2 linked regions of the Arabidopsis thaliana genome follow. The protein of the gene in region 1 interacts with the protein of each later gene in a biochemical or structural test. Each region holds a gene or a part of one and is shown on either strand. Other genes may lie near its edges.

The links.
Region 2: the proteins of NTRC (region 1) and THX form a complex in vitro, tested with the Arabidopsis thaliana proteins (one study listed by BioGRID).

What each region holds. Positions count from the first base shown.
Region 1 is NC_003071.7:17,375,606-17,381,237, forward strand, and holds NTRC (NADPH-dependent thioredoxin reductase C), read right to left. Parts: upstream 3,455-5,632; 5' UTR 3,424-3,454; coding exon 3,186-3,423; intron 3,094-3,185; coding exon 2,886-3,093; intron 2,797-2,885; coding exon 2,691-2,796; intron 2,591-2,690; coding exon 2,325-2,590; intron 1,961-2,324; coding exon 1,681-1,960; intron 1,576-1,680; coding exon 1,468-1,575; intron 1,392-1,467; coding exon 1,305-1,391; intron 1,216-1,304; coding exon 1,111-1,215; intron 1,015-1,110; coding exon 884-1,014; intron 805-883; coding exon 744-804; 3' UTR 573-743; downstream 1-572. Other genes in the region: AT2G41670 (P-loop containing nucleoside triphosphate hydrolases superfamily protein), read left to right, coding at 1-211, 294-572. UniProt on the Arabidopsis thaliana protein: Thioredoxin reductase (TR) that exhibits both TR and thioredoxin (Trx) activities. Contains a C-terminal functional Trx domain.
Region 2 is NC_003070.9:18,637,750-18,641,349, forward strand, and holds THX (thioredoxin X), read right to left. Parts: upstream 1,788-3,600; 5' UTR 1,716-1,787; coding exon 1,374-1,715; intron 1,064-1,373; coding exon 857-1,063; 3' UTR 635-856; downstream 1-634. Other genes in the region: STP9 (sugar transporter 9), read left to right, coding at 1-361; AT1G50325 (Plant invertase/pectin methylesterase inhibitor superfamily protein), read right to left, coding at 2,137-2,730. UniProt on the Arabidopsis thaliana protein: Probable thiol-disulfide oxidoreductase that may participate in various redox reactions.

The sequences.
Region 1 (5,632 bases):
TAAAGATTCAGTAGTGGGTGAAGAGCGGATTGCACAATACTTTCTAGCTATTCTAAACATTCGAGGGACTCCTCTTCATTGGAAGTACTTAGTTGAGGGAATAAACGAAGGGCCTCATGCAGACTGCATCGATAAGCCAAGCTATAACTTAAAGGATCTTCGACACCAGAGAACCAAACAACCAGATTCATCTGCTCTGCACTATGTCGGGGTTAGCATAATAACCTTATATCTCTACCTTGCTTTCCTTCTGAAATTGTCCTGACCAATGAAAGGTTCCCTGTCATCTACAGGATATGATTTCAGAAGTGCAACGATCACTGTATATAACACTCTCAGAATTTGATGGGGACACGGAGGATGAGAATGATTTAGAATGTTTGATAGAGCAACAGTTTGAAGTTCTACAAAAGGCATTGAAGATTCCTCACAAAGCATCCGAAGCAAGGTTAATGGTCTCCAAGAAATTTCTTACTTTGTTTAGGACAGGTAGACTTGGTCCCTTTATCCTTGACGATGTCCCTGAAACTGAAACTGACCACCCCAATTCAAAACGGGTAGTTGTTTTGTAAAATCTTAAAGCAAATTGTACCACATTATGCGTGCAGCTTAAGATGATGATTCTATTTGTTTACATTTGAGATTCAATGGCGTTGCTCCAGTAACTCCAAAGTATTTGAATGAACAAAATTGAATCATGATAAGATTTGGCATCTGCCAGAAACAATATCTATCTGGTGTCCTCATTTATTGGCCTCAATGAATTCTCGGTACTCTTTCTTCATCTTCACACCCGATATAGTCCTACACAGACTCGGAATCTTTAGCCAAACCTGAACACAATAATCTATGCAATTTTAAAACTGAGAGAACGTTTCCTAACCTGAGCATTTCCTTGTTCTTGAAGAACTGCACACATGGGGTTCCCATAATTCCAGCTGCTTCAGCAATTTCTTGATCTTCCTCGATGTCAATCTCAACAAAATGCACATCATGGTTATACTCATCGACCACCTGAAACAAAATGAAGGAGAAGTGAACAAATGGTCAAGTAAATCAGTCCAAAAAGATCTCTTCCGATGAGTTTCATTTCGACTAATAAAGGAATACCTTGTTCAAAATAGGCTTCAGAGTCCTACAGGGGCCACATGTTGGTGAAGTGTATAGTACCAATATAACTCTTGGACTCTCATGGTATAGTTTTCTAAGAGCATACTGAAAGCAGGGGAAAAAACATAAGGAGAAAGATGTGAGGCAGAGAAAATGCTTGTAGGTAACAAGTTAAGGTTCATATGTTAACAAACCTGTCCCTTGTGCTTTGTAAGAGTGATGTCAAACTTTTCTTGGACATCCCGTTGTGTGAATTCTTTCTTGGCCTCTTCAGTTTGAGGCTGTAACGTGAACATGAAAGAGAGTAAGCCTTGTGACGTGTGCTTAAGAGATAAGATATTTCTGAATATTTCCTACCTGGTGAAATTCAACAAGAAGATTGTTACTTGTGAGGTATCTCTCGGCTGACAAAGCAGCTATGCATCCTGATCCAGCAGCAGTTACAGCTTGTCTCCATTCGTGGTCCTAGAGTGACAAATAGGAGAATATAGCAAACACAATTATCGAACCAATATGACTTAAAAGAGTTAATACCAACACCGAAAAATTGCTAAAAGTTCCGAAGAATACCTGCACATCTCCTGCAGCAAATACACCTTCAACTGATGTATTTGATGTTCCTTCCCGAACCAAGACGTACCCGGAGCTGTCGAGTTCGACTTGGCCTTCCAATAACTGACTGTTTGGCGAATGCCCTATTCCATAAAACAATCCTTTTGCCTCCAGCTCAGTTTCTTCACCCGTATCAAGTCTTCTGAGTAGAATGCCAGACATCTGTCCCTTGGTGTTGCTCAATACGTCCACGGTTTCCGTGTTGTAATGCACTGTGATGTTTGGATTGTTGATCACTCTGAAACATTCGCCATAACCAACCTGTTAAAAAAACACTCAGGGTGTTGAAAAGACTCAACTTACGTTGTGCTCATTAGTCTATAATTCCGATAGCCAGCAAAAAAAAAAAGCACTCTACTGGTTGGTTATAAATTTACATGCAACGGAAATCATAACCAAAGGCTTTCCCAGATATATCCAATGGATTTGCGAGGGAACAGGGGATAGCAGTCAATACATGCAACAAAGAACGCTCAACATAGCTATGACAAAACACATTTCCTAGTTTGGACATAGCATTTATCTAGTTTTAACTGTTTATCTTCAGAAATCAAAGAAGAGGAGTAGAATATAAGGCAGACGTGATGAATATAAGAACTCACCTATCTTGCATAGCCTTGGAAGCTCTCAACTGATCTCTGCGAACAAGCAAATGAACATGACGGGCATATTTCGTGAGATACAAGGCTTCCTCTGTAGCCGTATCTCCTCCTCCAACCACGGCAAGTACTTGCCCCTTAAATAAAGGCGAAGCTCCATCACAGATAGCACAAGCACTTATCCCCCTACTCCAGAATTCTTCCTCTCGAGGTAACCTTAACCTCCTTGCTGTAGCGCCAGTGGCATATATAATACTATGGCACTTGACCTATAAAAAATGGAAACATCAGAAGAGAGCTGAAGCCAAAAAAAAAAAACTATTTAGAATTTGAAAAAGAAATAGTGAGAAAACAAAGAAAGATAATCACCTTACGTTCACTAGTTTGCACAGTAAAAGGAGCAGTTGTGACACTAAGAGATTCAACATCTTCTGGATACAACTCTGCTCCCCACCTCTCTGCTTGCTTTCTCATTCTACAATTTTCACACAATAAATAATTGCATCAGAAACATATAAGAAACGCCACAAACTAACAAAAGAATCAGACTATGTTATAGCTCACTTCTCCATTAAATCGGGACCCGTGATACCGTCTGGGAATCCCGGAAAATTCTCAACTTCAGTAGTTGTCATCAACTGTCCACCGGGAACTCCGCCCATCTGATACCCTTCAAAAACCACCGGCTTCAAATTGGCGCGCGCTGCATATATCGCCGCCGTATAACCGGCGGGACCGGAGCCTATAATCACTACATTCTCGATAATCTCGCCTGCAATTAATTATTAAAAAACCAACACAGAGCTCGATTACTTACACTGCCAAAAACCTTAAGAAAGAAGCAAAGAGGAACTCCTCAAGTACCTCCTGAAGAAGAAGAAGACGGAGAATTGGCGGTGGCGGAGACTCTGAGGCGGAGGGAATCAGAAGAGCGAGTTCGGGTTGGTTGACGGAGGAGATAGGAGCCGCCGTGACGTGTGGTAGTAGTAGTAGTGAGAAAGAAGAGATGAGGAGGAGGAGAAAGAGCGGATGAGGCGGCGGAGACACGGTGAGGCGATGAGACGGAGGCAATACCGATGCCTATCTTGGGAGACGCAGCCATATTTTTTTTGATTGCCTTACCTTTACCAGAGACCATACAATTGTCTCTTTGGCTTTGCAGTTAAAAAAAAACATCCCGATTTTCTGTTGGCGACTGTGCCTCACGCGCCTCAGCATTATCTCTTTGCTTCCAAGTCCACAGGCTTAGATGATTTTCAGCCGTTGGATATATGTGATGAAGCGACTGAACGGTGGAGATGTGTTTTGACTGATTTTACTTCGTCTTTTCAACGGAGGGATAAGCCAATCGCTTTTTTTTTAAGTGGGAAAGATCGCCAAGAGTTTAAGTGGACGGACGACGCTTTTTATATTGGGCCATAAATGGGCCTGTTTTGGTACTGAATATTTAGTCACGACGAAGATTCTTAAACCCACCGGAAAATGGGCTAATCTGTGTGCGGATTGCTTCGCCAAAAAGTTAGTACTAATAATTTATAAAGCATAACTAGCTAAATGCGAAGACTATATAGTTTACTTAGTTCTGAAGAGGTTGAAGTGGAAATGAAATGAACTAGGAGTTGGTGAGGGAAGGTGACAGACTATTTTTTCTTAAGTCAAAAAGTTAAGCTGACCAAAAAAGAGCAGCCCAATGAAAGCAAGGATCTTTATCTTTAGTCTAGTGTCTGAATTCCATGCACTTCCAATGTTTTAGTCAACAAAATGTACTTACATTTGATGACTTGATGTTGTATAGATTCGTTAGGAAGCCACATCACTAAACGTTAAGCATAACTTTATGGTTAAAAAAAAACCCCCCCACCGTGTTCTTACTTGTCATCCAAATTCGATCTGCCATTTGAAGTTTCCTAAGCTGTTCTTGATGACTATTCTTAAATTCGATGTTTATATCTTACCATCTAAATTAAGCCTTACAAGAGCTACATATCCAAGTAGTATATGCTGGAGTAGTTTTGTGATCCCTTAATCTTATTGTTCAACAAATAATTTCAACAGGACATATATATGGATCACTACTGTTAAAACGATATAGTAGAGCTTAAGCGTTAGGATTTGTATTATTAGTTGTCTCTCTCTTTTACAGACGCGTGGAAGGTACGCGCCGTCATAGGAACATTGTCGGTAATCCCCTTCAAACACCAGTAGTCAGTAGATCGATGACTTGAATTACATCACTGTCCCCTACTTTGACCAATAGAGATCTAAAGGTTTCCTTTCTTGCATTATTGTGCTAAAACCGACATTTACTTAAGTTACTTGATTATGTCTTGGAAAAAAAAAAAGATTTTAACTTTGGGAACTTTTATTCAACTGAAATTTTAAAGAATTATTTAATTTGGAATTCCTTCTATAAATTTACTGGCTTTTACCGTTATACGTTACCATAAACTTATATATATGATCAAATTCGACCGTGATGAATGATCACTTTTTTAACTTTCCATTCAGATCAACTGAACCCCCTTACTTTTTCTATATATACTCTTTTAAGCACTTGTTTATATATTATCAACAAATTAAGGTGTCGAAAGTAACATACAATTAGACAAAGCATGTATAGTCAAAAAGATAGATAGTCATCAATTTTGAAAAACGAGCAATTTACATGATCCTACAAAACAACAAAACTAACTATATGAAATATCAAGTTTATAATCATTTTTAAAAATACCATTACAAAAGATTTGTACTTTGAATATAATTTAACATGAAATTTAGAAAACGATCTGTTTAAGAATATAACTTCTGCTATGTGGTATTTTAACTGGTACTTTATAGAGAAAAAAAGATTGGTAATTAATGTGATATTTTTGCAATCCATATTATATATTCGAGAGATTTTACTAATGATAGTACTTGATTAATCATTAGAGAAAACTAAATCTTACAAATATAGGTAGACATGATGAATAATATGCATGATTTGCGTTTCGTAAATTGATAGTACCACCTCACCTAAAGGGGGTCCAAACGAGTTGCTTCATATCACAATATCCAATTTTACCAACATACATTAATATATGTGTATTCACATATATACCTCGTGATTAATATTTTTTTTAAAATCATTTTTCGTTTGTTTCCTATACGTCTAATCAAACACACACGTTACAACTAAAATTATATTGACAATATAGCTCGGTTGGTAAAAGCAACGACTACTGCAGTTTCCCTGAAAAACTTAAGACCAGTACTAAATATCAACTATACAAATTAAGTTGATATCAGTTTTTTTGGGGGTAAAGTAATCC
Region 2 (3,600 bases), on another chromosome or scaffold:
TGTTGCAGGATTTGCATGGTCATGGGGTCCATTAGGATGGTTAGTACCAAGTGAGATCTGTCCATTGGAAATCAGACCAGCGGGACAAGCCATCAACGTCTCTGTCAACATGTTCTTCACTTTCCTCATTGGACAGTTTTTCCTCACGATGCTTTGCCACATGAAGTTTGGTCTCTTCTACTTCTTTGGAGGAATGGTTGCAGTCATGACCGTCTTCATCTACTTCTTGTTGCCGGAGACAAAAGGGGTTCCAATTGAAGAAATGGGAAGAGTATGGAAGCAACATCCGTTCTGGAAACGTTACATGCCAGATGATGCTGTTATTGGAGGAGGTGAAGAAAACTACGTCAAGGAGGTTTGAAGAGCCAAGAAAGTGAAATGTTTCAAAGTTCTAGGCATTGGTTTTGCTTAAGCACGGGTTTTTGGTTGCTTTTTCAAGGGAAAATAAGGCAGCAAGATGTGAGAATCTGCAGCCGAGACGAAAAGAAGAAGAAGAATGGAAGTTGTTGAAAAAATCTTAAATGTTGAATTCTTTAACCTGATTCATTCCAATAAAATCCAAGCAGAATTTGTTTCTTGGCATCCAGTTGCATTTGATTTTCTTTTCTTTTTACCAACAAATGAGATTATCTGTAAGAAATGCAAAAACCTAACTAGATTTGTTGCAAGCATAAGCAAATAAGCCTAAATACATATTTCCCTGATAAGAGAACAACTCTTTTCTATTCGTAAAATTTGTTGCAAGATATACACATCAAATGAGAAACCGGGGATGAAGATCATCACAATTGAAGAGATTTGATTACATTAAAAAAACAGTGTTGAGACAGAAGAATACCGGTGGGGAGAGAGACGATTAAGCAACAGATATTGAGTTCAAGAGACCATCAATGTACTCCTTAAGCTTGGCCTTTGTAATAGCACCTTCCCTTCTGCTCCCTGGAACTTCCTTCCCGTCCTTGAAGAGAATGAAATGCGGTAAACCATAAACCTTGAACTCCGCTATTAACTTTGGATTAGCGTCGTGATCAATCTTTACAATCGTCAATTTGTCACCATATTCCTGAGAAACAAAGGAAACATTTTGAGTTTAAATAACCAAGACAACTAAAAACACTCAGAACTGAATTTATTCTCTAAGCACTTGCAAAAGGAAGCTCAACTCTAAACAGTAGTCACTAACTGACATTTTTAGTAGTTGTAGAGCTAATGGTATATGATTAACAATAGTTTCTCATACATAAAATCTCAAATCCCAAGTTTGTACCACCAAATCATGCGTGAAAATCTCTGACGATCTCATTCAATTTCAAACTCTCACGATTCTCCAGCAAGAACTGATGATTACAAAAGAGAGATTAAATGTATCAAACCTGAGATAAGGCTTCCATAGCTGGATAGATCAATTTGCAGGGACCGCACCAAGTAGCGACGAATTCAACCAAAACCGGCTGGGCTGATTCGAGAACCGTACTCGAAAACTCACTCTCTCCAATCTCTTTGATTCCGCCGCATCTTATCACCGAACTAGAGCTTTTTCTGGTTCTTCTAGCACCGGAGCTTAACGAAAGCAGGTGGCGGTTAGCCGCGACGGAGGTGACCTGGACTGAGCTCAGAGGTTTGACGGAAACGGAGGTTGCCGGAGAACATGAACGAACCGGAGGAGTGAGATATGATCGCATAAGAATCGTCGAACTGGAGACGATAGAGTCCATGGCTTCTTCTTCCACGTTCTCCTAATCTTCTCTGTGTTTGACTCATATTCAGAAGAACACGTTTGTGTGGCATAGGAAGGAAAGCTGGTGATGACTTTTCTCAAGGTCCACTACTTTTTTATTCTTTTACTTTTGCCCCGTACTTTGAGAAAACCATTTTAAGCTCCTTACTAATTGGACTAATTGGGGCTAGGCCCATAGTTGAAAATAGTCCTCGCCGGAGTTGCGTAATTTTTCACAGGTGAACGATGACTTTTTCAAATACGAAAGCCGGTCCAATCCGATCTATCAAACAAGCTTTTTCGTGATTTGGTATGCTCTTGTGGTGGATTTCGATTTTTCTTAACACTAAAACAATTAATTATCGGTGTAAATCGGTAATGGCAACATCATACCAAACAACATTATGATTATTAATTTATTATTGTAGATTTGATACTGATTCCTTACATGAAGTTTCTTCTTTTCTTAAAAAACATTCCACAATTACAAAAATAATGTCGGATACATTTTCGACGATAGAAACCCTTTTCAAGAGCTTTGGAATAGGCTTGATGACACTTGACAGCTCGCTTTCACATTCCATCGCGAATTGAGACATAGCATCAACATTCCTGTTTAAAGTGTCATAGTCATTGGTTGCCAAAGCTTTAAGTGCGGTTTCAAGAGGATTGATAAGATTAAAAAGATGTAAACATAGCTCATAAGAACCCTTAGAACTGGGATCGGTTGTGCTGTTTGTGAGTGACTGGAAATGCTTTATTAGATCAAAGGTGTTTTGAAAATCATAATTGATCAAAAATTTGGCGAGATCATAAGTATCCAATGTTGCAACTTGAGTGGATGATTTCATGAACTCATAGCAAAATGACGCATTGACTGCTCTGCGTGCGCACATGCCACATATTTCATCTGTTGTAACCTTCGTATTAAATCTTGCATATGATGAGACAACAAAAAGAAGTAAAACTACTATATGAACCAATAAAAAGTTGTTCTTGACATATGCAACCATTTTTGTTTTTCAATCTTTAAGAACTTATGTGAGATTATTATAGGGTGCAAACATATCTTTAAATTTAAAACTAACAGATTTTGTTTCATTTTTGCTGTAAATGCTGCAGATTATGTACCATGGAAAAAGATTTGAATTTAAATCCAAAAATATGACTATGATTCTCCTATTTTTGTTTGATTTTTTTCCTCATTGTTTTTTTTATTTTATTTTTGGACAATGTTTGTTTTCATTCCATAATGTAGAAGCCAAATACAAAGATAAAGGGAAAAAGTTCCAAAGTTTAAAGCACAACAATAAGGGGCATACTCCAAAAGTTACCAGAAAAATGATAAAAAGATAGATAGGGCTAATCGACAAAGGGTCCTTGAGAGTTTTGAGCCAAAAGCAAAGATGCTTATGGTACTTGTGAGATCAAAGTTTATCGACGACTCTTTCAAGAGCGATTCAAAGGAAAAACAAATTGTCTCTGTCAAAAGACGAAGTGGCGTTAATGAAGGGGTCAAAGACATGATTCTCGCCGGCACGAGGAGAGCTACATGAAGTAGAGCTTTGACAAAGGTTTGGGTAGTGGTGATGGTGCTCTGGTGCTTGGATTTATTTGCTAGAATTGATGCCGAATGAAAGTTGAGGTTAGGCAAACAATAGCAAACATGAAGTGAGGTGTATGACTTGAAGACGTTAAGCGAGCATGATGAGGGGTGGTCCTTTGACAAGCTTCCCAAGCCACCATAAAAACTCTCGCATGAAGGTTCAACAGCATTAGACCAAAGTCTTTCAAGCAAAGAAAGTCATACCACAACATATTATATGAAGCTAAAACCAAGGTTCGTAAAAAAAGAGTATAAGGTTGTAACATAATAGGTGGAT